3 linked regions of the Arabidopsis thaliana genome follow. The protein of the gene in region 2 interacts with the protein of the main gene of each other region in a pairwise test. Each region holds a gene or a part of one and is shown on either strand. Other genes may lie near its edges.

The links.
Region 1: the proteins of BBX18 (region 2) and AT2G46670 interact in a two-hybrid assay, tested with the Arabidopsis thaliana proteins (one large-scale study listed by BioGRID).
Region 3: the proteins of BBX18 (region 2) and PRR3 interact in a two-hybrid assay, tested with the Arabidopsis thaliana proteins (one large-scale study listed by BioGRID).

Annotation. Positions count from the first base shown.
Region 1 is NC_003071.7:19,162,685-19,167,285, reverse strand, and holds AT2G46670 (CCT motif family protein), read left to right. Parts: upstream 1-2,052; coding exon 2,053-2,505; intron 2,506-2,598; coding exon 2,599-2,697; 3' UTR 2,698-2,929; downstream 2,930-4,601. Other genes in the region: HB-7 (homeobox 7), read left to right, coding at 513-872, 1,093-1,509.
Region 2 is NC_003071.7:9,123,780-9,129,256, reverse strand, and holds BBX18 (B-box zinc finger family protein), read right to left. Parts: upstream 2,995-5,477; 5' UTR 2,756-2,994; coding exon 2,663-2,755; intron 2,281-2,662; coding exon 2,184-2,280; intron 2,093-2,183; coding exon 1,977-2,092; intron 1,894-1,976; coding exon 1,729-1,893; intron 1,653-1,728; coding exon 1,605-1,652; 3' UTR 1,270-1,604; downstream 1-1,269. Other genes in the region: FBA1 (fructose-bisphosphate aldolase 1), read left to right, coding at 34-124, 211-480, 563-841. UniProt on the Arabidopsis thaliana protein: Acts as a negative regulator of seedling photomorphogenesis. Acts as a negative regulator of blue light-mediated inhibition of hypocotyl elongation through increase of bioactive gibberellin levels.
Region 3 is NC_003076.8:24,196,474-24,203,567, reverse strand, and holds PRR3 (pseudo-response regulator 3), read left to right. Parts: upstream 1-2,203; 5' UTR 2,204-2,439; exon of another isoform or gene 2,440-2,905; 5' UTR 2,906-3,065; coding exon 3,066-3,333; intron 3,334-3,421; coding exon 3,422-3,583; intron 3,584-3,679; coding exon 3,680-4,068; intron 4,069-4,159; coding exon 4,160-4,307; intron 4,308-4,429; coding exon 4,430-4,709; intron 4,710-4,789; coding exon 4,790-4,820; coding exon of another isoform or gene 4,821-4,853; exon of another isoform or gene 4,854-4,899; coding exon 4,900-5,085; intron 5,086-5,154; coding exon 5,155-5,222; intron 5,223-5,316; coding exon 5,317-5,353; 3' UTR 5,354-5,570; downstream 5,571-7,094. Other genes in the region: PUM18 (pumilio 18), read right to left, coding at 631-1,614; AT5G60090 (Protein kinase superfamily protein), read left to right, coding at 5,843-6,008, 6,196-6,365, 6,448-6,637, 6,714-7,094. UniProt on the Arabidopsis thaliana protein: Controls photoperiodic flowering response. Component of the circadian clock. Controls the degradation of APRR1/TOC1 by the SCF(ZTL) complex. Expression of several members of the ARR-like family is controlled by circadian rhythm.

The sequences.
Region 1 (4,601 bases), about 10 Mb from region 2:
AACCGTTGTTCCATTTCCATTTTCACATCGACCAGAATGTTTACTATGCGGTAAATTGTGTAGTATGCAGATTTTTTTGTATCATTTAATTTTCTAACACTTGTTAAGTCGAAACTAATTTTGTCACAAGTAAAAGAAATAAAAAAGGTGGAAATTATTAATCAGTAGTTAGATGATTAGTTTCGAGTTGAAATGAAACTCGACTTAACAAGTGATAGCGACGACTCTAGAAACAGCCAAAATCCGCCCTATTGCTACCTGTCGACCCACAAATCGTTTACTCAAAAATGAATAAAAAATTTACGATAAAGCAAACCCAAAGTTATATCTTATTATATGCTAAGGAGCCCTCCCAAAAAAGAACAACAAATCACATTTTTATATAACTGTTAACATAATAATCTCAGCCTCATCAACACACATATATAGATAGCCAACATCACACAAACATAGAGATTCCAAAAAATAAAAATAAAGAAAACATAAATCCTCTGAGGAAAAATTCCGATGAGATGACAGAAGGTGGAGAATATTCTCCGGCGATGATGTCAGCAGAGCCATTCTTGACCATGAAGAAGATGAAGAAGAGCAACCACAACAAGAACAATCAGAGAAGGTTTAGCGACGAGCAGATCAAGTCACTGGAGATGATGTTTGAGTCTGAGACAAGGCTTGAGCCAAGGAAGAAGGTTCAATTAGCTAGAGAGCTAGGGTTGCAGCCGAGGCAAGTGGCTATATGGTTTCAGAACAAGAGGGCTCGTTGGAAATCCAAGCAGCTCGAGACTGAGTACAACATTCTCAGACAAAACTACGACAACTTGGCTTCTCAGTTCGAGTCCTTAAAGAAAGAAAAACAAGCTTTAGTCTCTGAGGTATGTTCTAAACTCTGTTTATTCTTACATGGTTAGTTAAAATCTGTGTATTTTGTGGTTGTATACTGAAAAACTGTGGTTTTAAATATGTGATAAAATATGTGCTTTAGTGGTTATATTGCAATTAAGGACTGATTAGGTGATCAAGAAAAACTCTGTTTTGATGGTTTATTGAAGGAGAGAATAGATTGTTGATGAGTTGTTTTATACCTTTATGTAGTTGCAGAGGCTAAAAGAGGCGACGCAAAAGAAGACACAGGAGGAGGAAAGGCAGTGTAGTGGAGATCAAGCGGTGGTTGCTCTAAGCAGCACACATCATGAATCAGAAAACGAAGAGAACCGGAGGCGTAAACCGGAAGAGGTTAGACCGGAGATGGAGATGAAAGATGATAAGGGTCATCATGGGGTTATGTGTGATCATCATGATTATGAAGATGATGATAATGGTTATAGTAACAACATCAAGAGAGAGTATTTTGGTGGGTTTGAGGAAGAACCAGATCACTTAATGAACATTGTTGAACCAGCTGATAGTTGTTTGACATCATCTGATGATTGGAGAGGTTTCAAATCAGATACTACTACTCTCTTGGACCAATCCAGCAACAATTACCCTTGGCGGGATTTTTGGTCATGAAAACAATAAACTCTAAACAAGAAGATGAAACAGATTGAGACTAAAGATTGGATATATACATATTCAAATCGAAATTTACCGGTCTACATCGCATGAACCGAGCCACGGATATAGAGATATTCGGTCCAGCAAATGACTCGTTTCTCAGCGAGAATTTTGCAGGATTTTGAGCTGAAATTGTATGGTTTTGTCTGTATAAATGATGTGTTTAGAAAGACGTATATTCTCAGTTCGTGTTTGTAATTCTGTTTTTAAGTAGTAAGTACTCGTCATGCTTTGTAGCTAAGTAGTAAGTTTAAGACTAAATTTGGATGAATAAAAATCAAAAGCAGGAGAAATCATATATATAAAGTGTTATGCATTAATATGTAAAAGATCAAGAAGAGAACTAAGTTGGTGAGAAGAAACTGATATTAGGAACACGAAAAGAACCATGAAACCCAAGTTAACATCTTCTTGACTCGGAAGATTTAAGGAGAAACTTTGTTTTTTTCTCAACAAAAGCAGAGTATCAAAACAGAGTCAGTCAATTCGCAAATTCTTATGTATTTAACTTGCAGATTTGAGGAAAGCAAGTCAGCAGAAAAAGCCGTCGTTGCTTTAGAGGAGAGTACTTCAGGTGAGCCAAAGACACCAACCGAATCACATGAAAAGTTGAGAAAAGTAAGATCTGATCAAGGAAGCTCCACAACGAGCAGCAACCAGGAGAATATCGGATCATCAAGCGTAAGCTTCCGTAACCAAGTTCTTCAGTCCACAGTAACGAATCAGAAGCAAGATTCACCCATACCGGTAGAATCAAATCGCGAGAAAGCAGCTAGCAAGGAAGTAGAAGCTGGTTCTCAAAGCACCAATGAGGGGATTGCTGGACAAAGCAGTAGCACAGAGAAACCAAAGGAAGAAGAAAGTGCGAAACAACGTTGGAGTAGAAGCCAGAGAGAAGCTGCATTGATGAAGTTCCGGTTGAAGAGGAAAGATCGATGCTTTGACAAAAAGGTAAGAGACACACAAGCTTCATCATAAAAACAGCATCTGAAACAAATACAAGATCAAACTGATTCAATGGAGATGTATAAAAATGGATTACAGGTTCGGTACCAGAGCAGGAAGAAGCTAGCAGAACAACGTCCTCGAGTGAAAGGCCAGTTCGTGCGAACCGTGAATTCAGACGCGTCTACAAAATCATGAAGAGCTCTTTCAGTTTTTCCTCTGATTTCTTTTGTTGATTTTATAACAGAAACTTATTTAGCTTTTGCAATCTTTAGTGTGCTTTTTTTTTTTATGTATTTGATTGGCTTCTTCTTCTCAGCTAATATGAGATACTGGGGCAACTTTTGTATATATGTCTGCAAATGATCAGGCTAAGCTAAAACAGTAATTCCAATTTCGTTAAGTTGAGAAATATTTCTTGTTGTGATCATATCCAGGCCGCTTCTCTCTCGATACATACCAACAAGAAACAGATTCTATAAAACTTGATTTATATACCATTGCTATAGTCTATGTATTAAAACTCATCACATTAATTCTCTCACAGTCAGAGAAACAAAAAAAAGGAAACAGAAGCTATCAAAAGAAATCTTTTTTGTGACCGTTAAAAGAAGATTTTGTGACCGTTAATTGTGATTATCAGTTTCCTTTTCTTCGCTTATAAATAAATAATTACTCTCTCACTGAGAGTCTCAACGCTTCTTCTAAAGAATTCGACAAATCAAAACTCTCTATTTCTCGCTTCTTCTTATTCTAAAACCCTAATTCTCTTCTCAAGACAATTTTGTCTTTATCTCTCTGTGAATTCCGATGATGATCCAAGTAGAGATATTCAAGTAAAAGCCGATGGTGATGATCTCTGAAACGTCCGTAATTGATCGGAGCGATATCATATCATCATCGTTTCGTGATTGAACCATCAAATCTATGTCATCAAGATCGATGTCGCCAGATAATGATCTGACCAACGAGAGACGCTTTCACCGGAGACTACAAAGAGGAGGATATAGCCAAGAGAGCGGAGAGCTTTATGGTGGTGGATGATGTCACGAGAGGGCTCCCAAAGACCGACGGGCTCAAATCTGACTTTGGAATGGGCTTTGCTCTATGGGCCCTTTTTGCTACTAAATCCAACAAGGTATTACTTTTTTCATTCTTTTTTTTTTTGTTTTATTTTCCTTCAAAATTATTTTTAAGTAAAACTAAAACTAATTAGTTTCACCATAACATTTATATAACTAAAATGTTTATATATTTTCATTAGTTTAAGTGTAAAATGTTTTTACACCTATATTTTATTATAACTTTAGATTTTTTTTATATAGATAAGTGTTAAATTTTTAAATTTTGTGTAAACTAATTGGATACATCATCCAATCCCCTAAGAGTTGTTCTAGGTTCAATATGGTTTACATTTTATTTAACTTTTTAACACTTGTTTTTCTTATATTTAGCATTTATTATTATTATTATTTTGAAAAGATTTTCAACTCTTTTTTTTAAGGTTTTATAAATACTAAATTAATATGACGTTGTGAAATCTAACCGGATTTTGGGTCCCGCCATTTAATCGTGCTTATTAGCGATTCCATAAATCCAACATGTTTTTCACTTTTTCATGTATATTTAGCATTTCTTTTTTCTTAAAAGGTTTTCAACTCTTTTTTTTTTTTTTTTAAATTTTATAAATACTAAATTAATATGACGTTGTGAAATCTAACCGGATTTTGGATCCCGCCATTTAACCGTGGTCATTAGCGATTCCACAAATCCAACATGTTTTTCACTTCTTCATGTATATTTAGCATTTATTTTTTATTTTATTTTCTTAATAGGTTTTCAACTCTTTCTTTTTTTTTTTTTTTTTTTTTTATAAATACTAAATTAATATGAAATTGTGAAATCCAACCGGATTTTGGATCCCGCCATTTAATTGTGGTCATTAGCGATTTCACAAATTCATATGTATTTCACATTTTCATGTATATTTAACATTTATTTTTTATAATGAAAGAAATCGTTATTAAATTTTTTATTAAATTAAGAAAATCTCTCTATTGATAAATTAATATTATTTTAAATTAATAATATTAGAATTTTAG
Region 2 (5,477 bases):
TTTTTTAATTGAGCTCCATGTATGTATGATTAGGCGTACTGTTGTGAGCATTCCAAATGGACCCTCTGCTTTGGCTGTTAAAGAAGCAGCTTGGGGACTTGCTCGCTACGCAGCTATTTCTCAAGTACTATCTATTTCTAACTGCACCGCTGTTTCTGAGTTCCATTACTGTCTTGAATATACTCATGCGTTTGAGTTTGTGTTCTACAGGACAGCGGTCTGGTGCCGATTGTGGAGCCAGAGATTATGTTGGACGGAGAACACGGCATTGACAGGACATACGACGTTGCAGAGAAGGTTTGGGCTGAGGTCTTCTTCTACCTCGCTCAGAACAACGTCATGTTCGAAGGTATTCTCCTGAAGCCAAGCATGGTTACTCCAGGAGCTGAGGCCACAGACAGAGCTACTCCTGAGCAGGTTGCTTCCTACACTCTCAAGCTCCTTCGCAACAGAATCCCTCCTGCTGTCCCCGGAATCATGGCAAGTTTTCTCTGATACTGTAAACTTTTGCAGCTGAAGAAACTATGCTTGAGATTTATGTTAAACTATCTATTGTATGCAGTTCTTGTCTGGTGGACAGTCCGAGTTGGAGGCGACCTTGAACTTGAACGCAATGAACCAGGCACCGAACCCATGGCACGTGTCCTTCTCCTACGCACGTGCCTTGCAGAACACTTGCTTGAAGACATGGGGAGGCAAGGAAGAGAACGTGAAGGCGGCTCAGGACATTCTCTTGGCCAGAGCCAAAGCCAATTCGCTGGCTCAGCTCGGGAAATACACTGGAGAAGGCGAGTCTGAGGAAGCCAAGGAGGGTATGTTTGTAAAAGGCTACACCTACTAAGCTATTTGTAATAATGGTTCCATAGATCAAAACTCAAAAACTTGAGCTTGATTCTGGTCATTTGAGTTATTATACTCTTCTTCAGGTATAAAAGTCAGTTCTGTGTTATCATGTGAGACTAGTTTTGTTTCTTCATGGTTAATATCTTAGTACCTACTCGTTACTACTAATAATTGAGTTAGTAGTCTGTTTCTATCATTGTTATCACTCAAAAACTCTGTCTTTACAAGTTATGAAACTAGTAACATTATGCTCTCTGAGCTCAAAATCACATCTAATGCAGGAAAATGACATTACAATTTATGTTCAAAAAAATGGAGCGAGAAACATCGAAACAGTATGTTGAGACTTGAGTAATGAGAGATTGCAGTTCAAGATCATATGACTCTCAAATTACTCATGTTTATAACTCAGAGTTAACAAAACTAATCAGAGAGAGAAGAAGAAGATAATAGTCATGGCTCATGGTGATCACTTAAACCGAGCCAAGAAGGCATCTCCTTTAATGGCTAACCATTTTACTATTTTCTATTAAAGCTTTGTCTGAATGTGAGAAGAGAGAAAATCATATATTTGAGATATAACTCTGAAGAATCGTTATCCACTAATTGATCATTTCACAAAAGAAAGGAAAAGAGAAGAAATTCAGAAAACAACATATTTGTTTCCTCTAAGCTAATTTCTTCAAAACAAAATAAGACATTTCCCTGTAAAGATACTGTTCTTGCATAGGTTCTTACTTGATCTTGTGTATCTGCGATCACTATTCATGCTCGTGATTGTTTGCGTTATTTACATCAATACCCTCCTCCTTGAAACACAAACAAAACAGCTTTAGAGACACTGAGGCAAGATTGATTATGTTCATCTAGATAAGATACACGTACTTGGTTATGTGATCCAGGCTCGTGTACTCTTTGAGGATTGGAGTTAAGATCGATCATATTATGATCATGATCACCATTCCCATTTGATTCTTGACCACGACCAGAGGAAGCCTTTTGACACCGTAGTCCCAGTTGGTCAGCATGATTAGGCTTATCGCCTGGAAACTACAAGAACACAACATTGTAAAGAACAGTCAATACCACAAATCAAGAATGCTTCAAGATCCTTGCATTTTCAAAAGTCAAACCTCAATTCTCTGTCTCAGTAATAGAAACCGCCTATGTGTTCTCTTCCCACCAACATGTACCACCATATCACATTGTAGACAAAGGGAACTACCATCTATCTCACAGTAAAAGAATGCTGTTCATCGATCAACAACAAAACAAACATGTCAAAAACTGAAACTTCCGCTTCCTCTTATACACTAAAGAAAGAGGAATCATATCAATACCGGGTGCATTTTCGCATATGTCACAGCTTGGTGCATTACTCGGATCAGCTAAGCCTACACGAAGATGCCGACTAGCCAGCTTGTTGCACTTATGAACCTAAACACACAAACAAAAATGTTTCTTTCTTATAACTTATATCTAACCACGTCCTCAATCAAAGCCATTGCAGATAACAAAAAGTCTCATAGCTCTTCCAGCTTCAATAGAGTGACTGTAACTGTAAATAAAGTGTATCACCAGAGAACTGCTATATGCAAAGTTCAAATTATGACAAGCTAAAATCACTAGAATGTTTCTTTAACAATCAAAACACAACTTTTGGTACTACTTTGGCCATGTTCGAGTTATAATAACCTCAAAATCTATAAATTTAGCACTTCAACTAGATATTGTCTCAAAAATTCCAAATTTTTGCATTTGTTGAGATAAAAGTGTTACTTTAAGAAAAATGAGATTTTTTTCAGGTAAAGGTGGTTACTTTTTCGTCGCAGGAGCAACAGAGGGCAGCTTCGTCGGCGGCGCAAAAGACGATAGCGGCGGCGCTCTCACAAGCATCACACAAAATTCGCATGTTTTTTACTCAAACGATTAGTCTCACTTTCAAAGTTAGCATCTTTCGCCAAACCCAAATTCTGATTGTTGAAGCGGAAGATGGAGAGACTAAAGGGTTTAGGATTAATGGATAATACGAGATAAAGTAAGAAGAGGAAGGAGATTTTTTGAATCAAACTAAGAAGAAGAAGAAGAAGAAGAAGAAGAAGAAGAAGAAGAAGAAGAAAGCAGAGAGCAGCAGAGAAATATGATGGATAGATGAATTTGCAGACGCTGCGAGTAGCTTGTATATGTATACTCGCTCTATCTCCCCTTTATTTGATTTCCCTTCTGATGGCCAAAATTAAACATAGATAGGATTTTTTTTTTTTTTTTTTGTATTTGACTCTTTGTCAAATATTTTTTAATCTTTTAAAATTTTTTCACATTTTTAGGAATATGTTCTATATGAAATTATGGGTTTGAATGGTAGGTGAGTGTATACACCATTTTGATTGTTAATTTGTTATTAATTATTTTAAAAGGAAATTGCAGTGTCAAAAATGGTCTCAAAATTTATCATTAATTGTTATTGTAATTTTTTTTGAACTATTCTACTATAGTTTTTGTGTACTTTTGCTAAGCTGAAAATCTTAACACATTCTGAAGTATCAATTGGAGCATATAATATTGAAAATTCAACTATACATTTTTATTAGTAAATGTTGATGTAAAAAAAAAAAGCTTGAATCTTTAACTGTTTTATGCGGAAGCTCTCACTAAATCTCTCTTTGTTCGATCACTCGTGTGTTTAGACAAAGAAAGTAAAACAGACACAAGCAAATGTTAACCCAGTTCACGTTCAGTGATGAACGCTACGTCTGGACCGAGATTACCCGGAAATCCACTAGAAAGCCTTGGTTACACAAACCCTTAGAAACAAGACTGAATAAACTTTCAGCTGCCTCTCTTGCACTTACTCTCTTAACCCTAATGTCTCACTTATCTTCTCCTTTATACAACTCTACTCACCGCCACGCTCCTCTCTCTTCTTCCGTACTCTGTTTCAAATGCAGAGACAAAGAGACAAAATGGTTGAACCATTGGCAAGAGGTTAATTACGTCTCTAGCCTTGATGAGCTGTATGACAAAGCACGTGCGCCTCTCGTGACTTCGTTTCTTTCACAAGCTGAGACCTTCTCTTTGGATTAGAGTCTTTATGACACTTTAGGCAATACTTCCACAAAACTTCACCTTGCCTTAGTGTCAACCTTTCCTTTGCTTCCCTTCTAGTGTAACTTGATTTCCATCTCGGACCATGATCCCTTATCAGGCACTTGTAACCCTGAGCTTCTTCAACGCGCTCAGGAACTTGTTAACCGGTACCACCTTTGTGAAAATATCCGATGGATTATGAACTGTGGATATTTTCAGCACTTTCACTTCTCCATCAGTGATTGCATCTCTGATGTAATGAAACCTTCTCTGGATATGCTTTGTCCTTTCATGATGAACTGCATTCTTTGCTAAAGCTATAGCACTCTGAGAATCACAATGGATATCTACCGCTCCTTGTTTAAATCCCAGCTCATTCATCAAGTCTTTTAGCCAATATGCTTCTTTTGCAGCCTCTGTTAAGGCTATATACTCAGCCTCTGTTGATGACAGTGCAACAACTGGCTGCAAGCATGACCTCCAGCTTACTATGTTCCCTCCTACAGTGAATGTGTACCCTGTGGTCGATCTACTTCGATCACGATCTCCAGAGTGATCTGAATCACAGTACCCTGTCACCACAAAATCACCTTCTCTCTTGTACTGCAGCCTTGAATCAATAGACCCCTTAATGTAACGGAGAACCCATTTCACACCTAGCCAATGATTCATCAATGGTTTACTCATAAACCTACTTATGACTCCAACAGGATGAGCAAGGTCAGGCCTTGACCCGATCATAGAATACATTATGCTTCCCACTGCATTTGCATAAGGTATAGACTTCATTTGATCAGCTTGCTCCTCTGCTTCAGTCTCTGTTGCTGCTACAAACTTCATATGTGGTGCCAATGGTGTTTTAACAGGCTTGCATTCATCCATTCTGAATGTCTTTAACACCTTTTGCAGATAACTTCTCTGAGATAACTCCAAAATATTTTCTTCTCGGTTTCTTGTTATCTCCATTCCCAGAATTTTCCTTGCAGGCCCCAAATCCTTCATTTCAAACTCTGAACTCAGTCTTTCCTTTAATTCCTTGACTGTTTCCTTGTTCTTTGATATGATCAACATATCATCAACATACAAGAGAAGAAATGTTCTTTCTTCTTCAGAAAATAAATCCATACTTTTCTTGTAAGGTCATCAATAAACGTGATAAAGTACTGACAATTACCTAGTGAGTTTGGTACTGATGGCGCTCCCCAAAGATCCGAGTGAATGTACTCAAGTTTCTCTCTTGTGACATGTTTTGCAGACCCAAAACCAACTCTATGTGTTTTCCCGTACACACAGTCTTCACAAAACTCGAGACCATTTATCTTTTCAGCTTGAAGGCATCCTTTCTTGATCAACACATCAATATTTCTCTGACTCATATGGCATAATCTGCTGTGCCATATCTTTGATTCATCTTTTGAGCTTGTAACTGCGTTTGCATTTCCTGTTACAACAACTCCTTGCAAGAGGTACAAAGTACCAACTTTCTTTCCTTTAAGTAGTGTCATGCAGCCTTTGACAACCTTTAATGTCCCAGCCTTAGACTGGAA
Region 3 (7,094 bases), on a different chromosome or scaffold from region 2:
CTGTGAGCTGATTTCTGATGTGCCACTCTATTAAAAGCTTTTAACTTATTGAATTCATTAGTTTGTTTGGTTATTTTTCGTTAATGTGAAAAAGTTTCTGCTAGAACCATTAGCAGGAAGATCCGTTTGTGATATCTAGAGATTTCTGATGGCTATGAGACATTTGTATCTATCTTGATAAGATTGTTATCTGAGTATAAGCTGTATGCTCTTCGTGATTTTCCTGCTAATGGTTCTAGCAGAAACTTTGGGCTTGTGACAAGGCAGCCATACAATGGAATGGAAGGGAAGCTGCTTCCTTAACTGAGCAAGGTGCGATTTTATCTTTAGTGCACCAAATATGATTTACTTTTCTTTCATAAGGTGTTGATGAAGTTTGCAATGTGTATTCGTTTACAGCTCTCGATTTAGGTTTGTTTTGTTTTCAGAAATAAGAACACAAGAAGAAATGTATTAGCCAATTTCGTTTTTCAAATTGTGTAAACTCTTCTTCATAAGAACTCCAACTTTACAAAACAAAATAGTAGTTTATGACGAAACACTTTTCTTACCAGAGTTATGTAACTACATTGAACACCGGAACAATTAAACTATTGTAAGCTGGTTTGAAAAATAAACACAGAGTTATAATCAGCAACGAAGCCTAAATGAGTCCAAGATGTTTGCAATGTTGCTTCCGTGAGATCTACGCAAGAGACGGATAAAAGGCATGAGCTTCTGCACCAAACCCCAAAACAGATCCATCCTAGACATCTTGGTGAATCTCAGAGCCTTGACCACCACGAAATTCCCAAACTCATTCCTCGCCAGCCTCATCAACCTGTCTCCATCGCAACCCAAAAGCTCCACAACCACCACAACCATTGACTCCTCCACCTCCAAAAGCTTCTCCACGATGTAGCTTCCATACTTCTTAAACGATAGCTCAATGCACTGACCATAAAGATTAACGGCGATGTTGTGAATGCAACGCGAGTCATACAGTGTAAGCACATGTTGGACCACAAAGTTCCCTGAAGCATCGTTGCTTAGCCGGAGAGCGTTGGATGCGACCAATTCTAGTAGCTGATCTCTGTAGTAAGGATCGTCAGCGTCGGTTATGATATCATTGAGCGCGATGCAGCCGTGCTGGTCACACGCTAGGTCGAGAGCGTGGTAGAGAATGCGCTCGTACAATGCCTTTTTCATCACCTTGTCGAAAACGACCATGGCTCGTATCGTCACGTAGGATGCGTATTTGTCGGTCGTGATGTGGAGGAAGCGGCGCAAGATAGCGGCACAGAAGAAGGCGTCCACGTCATCTGATTTGCCGAGGAGCTTCTGCACGCGTCTCGAGCCGAACTTGGTTGTGACGATCGACATGAAGTAATCGGAGTCAGACGTAAGCAACGAGGCCATCCTCTGAAGCTCTGTTTTGTCTGAATTTGAGATCATCTCTTTAAAGTAAGACACACCATCGCCGTCAGTCATTAGGTTGAACAGAGCTGCGTGCAAGGGCGTGGCGGAGGCGCGTGGGGCGAATCCAGGAGGAGGAATGGAACCGGAGATTCCTTTAGGGTTTGGTAAAGCATTGAACATGGTCGACATTGAAAAGGGATTATCAGCGACTGCCATTGATAAATCTCTTGATGATCTACAGAAATTTCTCTAGAAAAGGGTTTAATCAGTTTGTGTGATTTGGGAGAAGTATGAGAGACTTGTGAATGAGAGATCTGTGGTGATGCGTAGAGTATTTATAGAAAAGTTAGGGCTTTTGTTTTTCTAGTTACAATTACACAACTCGGATTACTACTAGGAAAAGGAAAAGGAAACTTATTTGGTGGAGTTTCCTTTTTGTTTTGTCAATTTTCCTTTTTTCTTTGCATTTTCGTAACTGTCATGATTTTAATCTATCTTTTTTTGGTGTGTGAAGATAATAATAATCTATCTGAAACAAATGGAAATATGTAATTTGTTTTGTTGTAAATCGACAATAATTTAACATGTCGATAATCTCTAAAGTCTAAACCAACCCCTCGCAGTCCAAGCTTTTGATTTTGTCCACGTCACTAATCTCAGCATGCGTAAATTTATCTGGTCCTACTTGACACGTAGGTTAGTTCTGCCACGTCATCAAACTCCAAAATAATATCTTCTCTGACCTTTTTGTTCTACCACCTCCCAAAAAATCCCAGTCTTCTCTTCCTCTGATTCTCTATCAAGTTTTTTAAATTTTCTTTCTTTTTATTCTATTTTAGTAGCAATTTGGTTCTGTAAAGTTGTTGGTAAAAGAAAAATAGATACGAATCAAAACATTTTTGAATGATTAGGTGATTAAATGCTAAGCAAATCAGATTAAGCAAAAATCTGTTCTTTTTTGGTTGTAATTTGGTTTTTCAAGTCAGATATGGTGAGAGATTCTGGTGGTGGTGGTGTTCATCAATGGATTATGTGAAAAAGGTTTGCTTTTGTTTGTCTTGTCGCTTTTACAATCTGCTGCTGTTTGAATTTTGTGCTTATTTCATTAAGTATTATAGCTTAGAGCCTTAGAGTTTGATTTTGTATCTGGTTCTGTAGAGTTTATAAGAAATTTGAGAAAGTAGGAGATCTTTACAATCATCTAATGAATAAAAGAAACTGTGTTCAAAGTTTGTTAACTACTTACCAAGTACTGTGATAATTTTCCATTGGAACATTGATAGCTTTTGATTTTAGAAACAACAAGTTTCAGATTGTTTTCTAAAGCTGAGTGTGTGCTACTATTGAAATTTGATTTGGCTTGTTTAGTTTTTCTTTGGACAAGTTTGATGATTTATCCAAATTCAGTTTTTTATTTTTTGGTTCTGGTGTGAGACTGTGATCTTCTTACGGAATGTTGCTTTTTTTTTTGTTTCTCGTTTCTTATTGGGCTGAGGTTTTGGTGAAGGGATTAGAATAAGTTTGGGGAAAGAAGAAATGTGCAAGTGTTATGTCAGTGTAGAGGGGAAGTTTCTGCAGAATCTTAGCTGTTACTTGATGCTGCTTCTATTCTATCTTGTTCATGGAGGCTGGTCTTGACACTTTCATGAGATATTAGTATTCTAAAAATGTGTTTTAATAACATTGAAACTGGTGATGAAGTGGAAACCGAGAGGCAAGTGTTTGGTTCATCTGAAGAAGATGAATTTCGAGTTGAAGATACTGCTAGAAATACCAACAATGTACAGATTTCTCAACAACAGCAGCAACCGCTAGCTCATGTTGTGAAGTGGGAGAGGTATCTCCCAGTTAGATCGCTTAAGGTTCTTCTGGTGGAGAATGATGACTCAACACGCCATATTGTTACTGCCCTTTTAAAGAATTGCAGCTATGAAGGTTTTCTTATATTGAATTGATCATCCTTGTTTAGCAATCACATTTTTGCTTTTGACTAACAGTTGTAAATTTGGAAACTTTTTGTCAGTTACTGCTGTTCCGGATGTCCTTGAAGCCTGGAGAATTCTAGAAGATGAGAAAAGTTGCATTGATCTTGTCTTAACAGAGGTTGACATGCCTGTGCATTCAGGAACCGGTCTGCTGTCCAAGATTATGAGCCATAAGACACTTAAGAACATCCCCGTCATAAGTATTTACTCAAATCCTTGATTAAATTTTTGTTTATCCAGCTTCAATATGCCATGCTCAGTTTGTGTAACTCAAGATGTGATGTTTCTTTTTGTAGTGATGTCATCACATGATTCTATGGTTCTGGTCTTTAAGTGTTTGTCGAATGGTGCTGTTGATTTTCTCGTGAAACCCATTAGAAAGAACGAACTAAAGAATCTTTGGCAACATGTCTGGAGAAGATGTCACAGCGTAAGAGTTCTGATTTGGTTACCTGTTTTACAAAAGTTACTCTGTGTTTTTTTCTTACTTATGCGTTTATTGATTTACCAGTCTAGCGGAAGCGGAAGTGAGAGTGGAATACATGACAAGAAGTCGGTGAAACCTGAAAGCACCCAAGGGTCAGAAAATGATGCCAGCATCAGTGATGAACACAGGAATGAAAGTGGGAGTAGTGGTGGTTTGAGTAACCAAGATGGTGGGAGTGATAACGGGAGTGGAACTCAGGTAATCTGTTCTATGGCTATAGATAATAACAATGTCTGAATAAATCGGTTTATAAATTTTTGATTGGTTTTGCATTTATAAAAATATGTAGAGTTCTTGGACAAAAAGAGCCAGTGATACTAAGAGCACCTCGCCTTCAAATCAATTTCCCGATGCACCCAACAAGAAAGGAACCTATGAAAATGGATGTGCACATGTTAATAGACTGAAGGAGGCTGAAGATCAGAAGGAACAAATAGGTAAGAACGCAAATTAATTAGTCAATTAAAATGTGAGTACACTGATCTTGTGGAACAATTCCTTGAGATTCTCTCTGATTTACTTTAATTCAAAACAATGACTTTAGATGATATTGTATTAGGCACGGGATCACAGACAGGAATGTCTATGAGTAAGAAAGCTGAAGAACCAGGAGATCTTGAAAAGAATGCAAAGTATTCTGTTCAAGCTTTGGAGAGAAACAATGATGACACGCTGAATCGCTCTTCTGGTAACTCACAAGTAGAAAGCAAAGCACCTTCATCTAACCGAGAAGATTTGCAATCACTCGAGCAAACTCTGAAAAAAACAAGAGAGGATAGAGATTACAAAGTCGGTGATCGAAGTGTGTTGAGGCATTCAAATCTCTCTGCATTCTCAAAGTAAGTTCTTGACATTAACTGCAAATGAAATGTCGAACCTGTGACTGATTTGGAGTTATTGGTTCTCTTGTGATATGCAGATACAATAATGGTGCTACTTCTGCTAAGAAGGTAACTTTTCATGATGCTTGGCGCTGTCTTTGAAATTTATGCCGGTTTCATCAAAAACTTTGAACTTTTGCTGAGTTAGGCTCCAGAAGAAAATGTGGAAAGTTGTTCTCCTCATGACAGTCCTATTGCAAAACTGTTGGGTTCGAGTTCAAGCAGTGACAATCCTTTAAAGCAGCAGTCTAGTGGAAGTGACCGATGGGCACAAAGAGAAGCTGCTTTGATGAAGTTTCGCCTTAAACGTAAAGAGCGATGTTTTGAGAAAAAGGTAAGCTCTAAACAAGCTTAAGCTCTTGTTTCCTGAGACGAAACTAACGTTTTTTTTGGTATCCTTTAGGTTAGGTACCATAGCAGGAAGAAACTAGCTGAGCAACGGCCTCACGTCAAAGGTCAATTCATTCGCAAGTAAGTTCAAATCCTTTCCAAGATTTCTCCCTCTAGATGTTTCGAAAAGTATCCTGATATAGTAATGTACTCACATGGAGTCCTTTGCCTTTAGGAGGGATGATCATAAATCAGGAAGTGAAGACAATTGAACAACAAAATTGGTATAGAAGAGAGATCCACCTCCAATATCTGAAGAACAGAAGAAAATTTCACAAAGTGGCATTTTTTTTTTTCCATTTCCAAAAACAGATAGTAGTCTTGTTTAAATAACGTCATTACTATTCTACAAACATAATAATGTCGCTATAGTACTTCTTCTCTGAAAACAATAACTCATTAACATTTCAATAAATAATGTTACTCATTAATTAGTGTGTGTGTTTTATGAATATAATTTGAGTATTTAATTCTCTAATTTTTTTAAGAATTATTAGAGCGCATAATCTCCCGTCTATATAAATATCCTCCGGCGAATTCTTTTAGTTCTCATCATCCAAACCTCTCTCATTCTCTTTCTCGCTCTAGTTTTCTCGTTGAGAGTCTCTTACTCTGTTTAATTACTTGTTTCCGGGAAAAAGATTCTCGGGAAAACAAAAGAAAAAAATCTCAAGAAAGATTCATCTTCGTTGATCGCTACGATGAAACGTTTCTTATGCTGTCTCAAAGGAGGAAGCTCAAGTAACGCAGCGCAAGGTAACGACGAGAACGACGAAGTAGATGTCGAGCGCCTATTTGGGAATAACGAGCGCCTCAATCATCTTTGGAGAAATCATCTCCGACTCCCTGACGATCGTGAAGTTGCAGGTTCCGTTTTCGTTTCTCTTCTTCAATCTCTTGAAATCGAGATTTCTTGTTTTCTGGGTTTCTTGTATCTTACGCAACTCTGTATTTTAAGAGTTTCTTTCTTACTTCTTCGTTTTGGTCTCGTCACATTCTTGCAAGTGAAAGTAGTATCTTGTTCAATCTTTAACCTTTGGTAATTCATTTGCAGATCCGACTGCTGCTCTGTTACCAGTATCTCCACCTCTACCTGATAATTGTGGAGAATCATTTCTATGGCGTGAGCTCGTAAACGGAACCATAAACTTCCGGGACGAATTTTATCTCGGCAAAGGCAACTTCGGCGAAGTCCATCGCTGCTATTTCTCAAGACTTAATGTGGTATATAGACCCAAAGGTCATGTCCTTTATGCTTAATAATCGAAACCCAGTTTCTAAAGTCTGAAACTTTTGATTTCATTAGGATGGAGCGGTAAAGGTTCAAAATCCACAGAATCCAACTGGTCATGTTGAGTTCTTGGCAGAGGTTACAACGTTACGTGCAACTAATCATCCAAATGTGATTAGACTTCTTGGCAACTGTTACGGCCAAAGGAACCGTGCTATAATTTACGAATTCATGGCCAACGGAGATCTTGAGCGTCACATCTTTGGTAAAGAAAACTCAATCAAACCCTAATTGATGACTCTGTTTTAGCTTCTAAACCTAATTGATTCTGTTTTTTGTAGCACACAAAACGATGGTGGAGGGTCCGCGACCTAAGGGTCTAACACTACCAATTAGGGTTTTGGATTGGTACACGAGGATGAAAATTGCTGTGGGTGTAGCCAAGGGCCTGGTTTATCTACACGAGGAGCTGAAAGTGATTAACAGAGATGTCAAGGCCGGAAACATATTACTTGATGCAGATTTTGTTCCGAAGCTGACAGATTTTGGATTGGCGACTAAAATCGTTGAAGATGAAAACGGTGTTGAGCAGCAGCAACGGATCATTCCGATGAAGGCATCTATGGGATACATTGCACCGGAAGGAGAGATTTCCTGGTTGGTTTCGACTAAGACTGATGTCTATAGCTATGGAGCTTTTCTGTTAGTGCTTTTCACCGGAA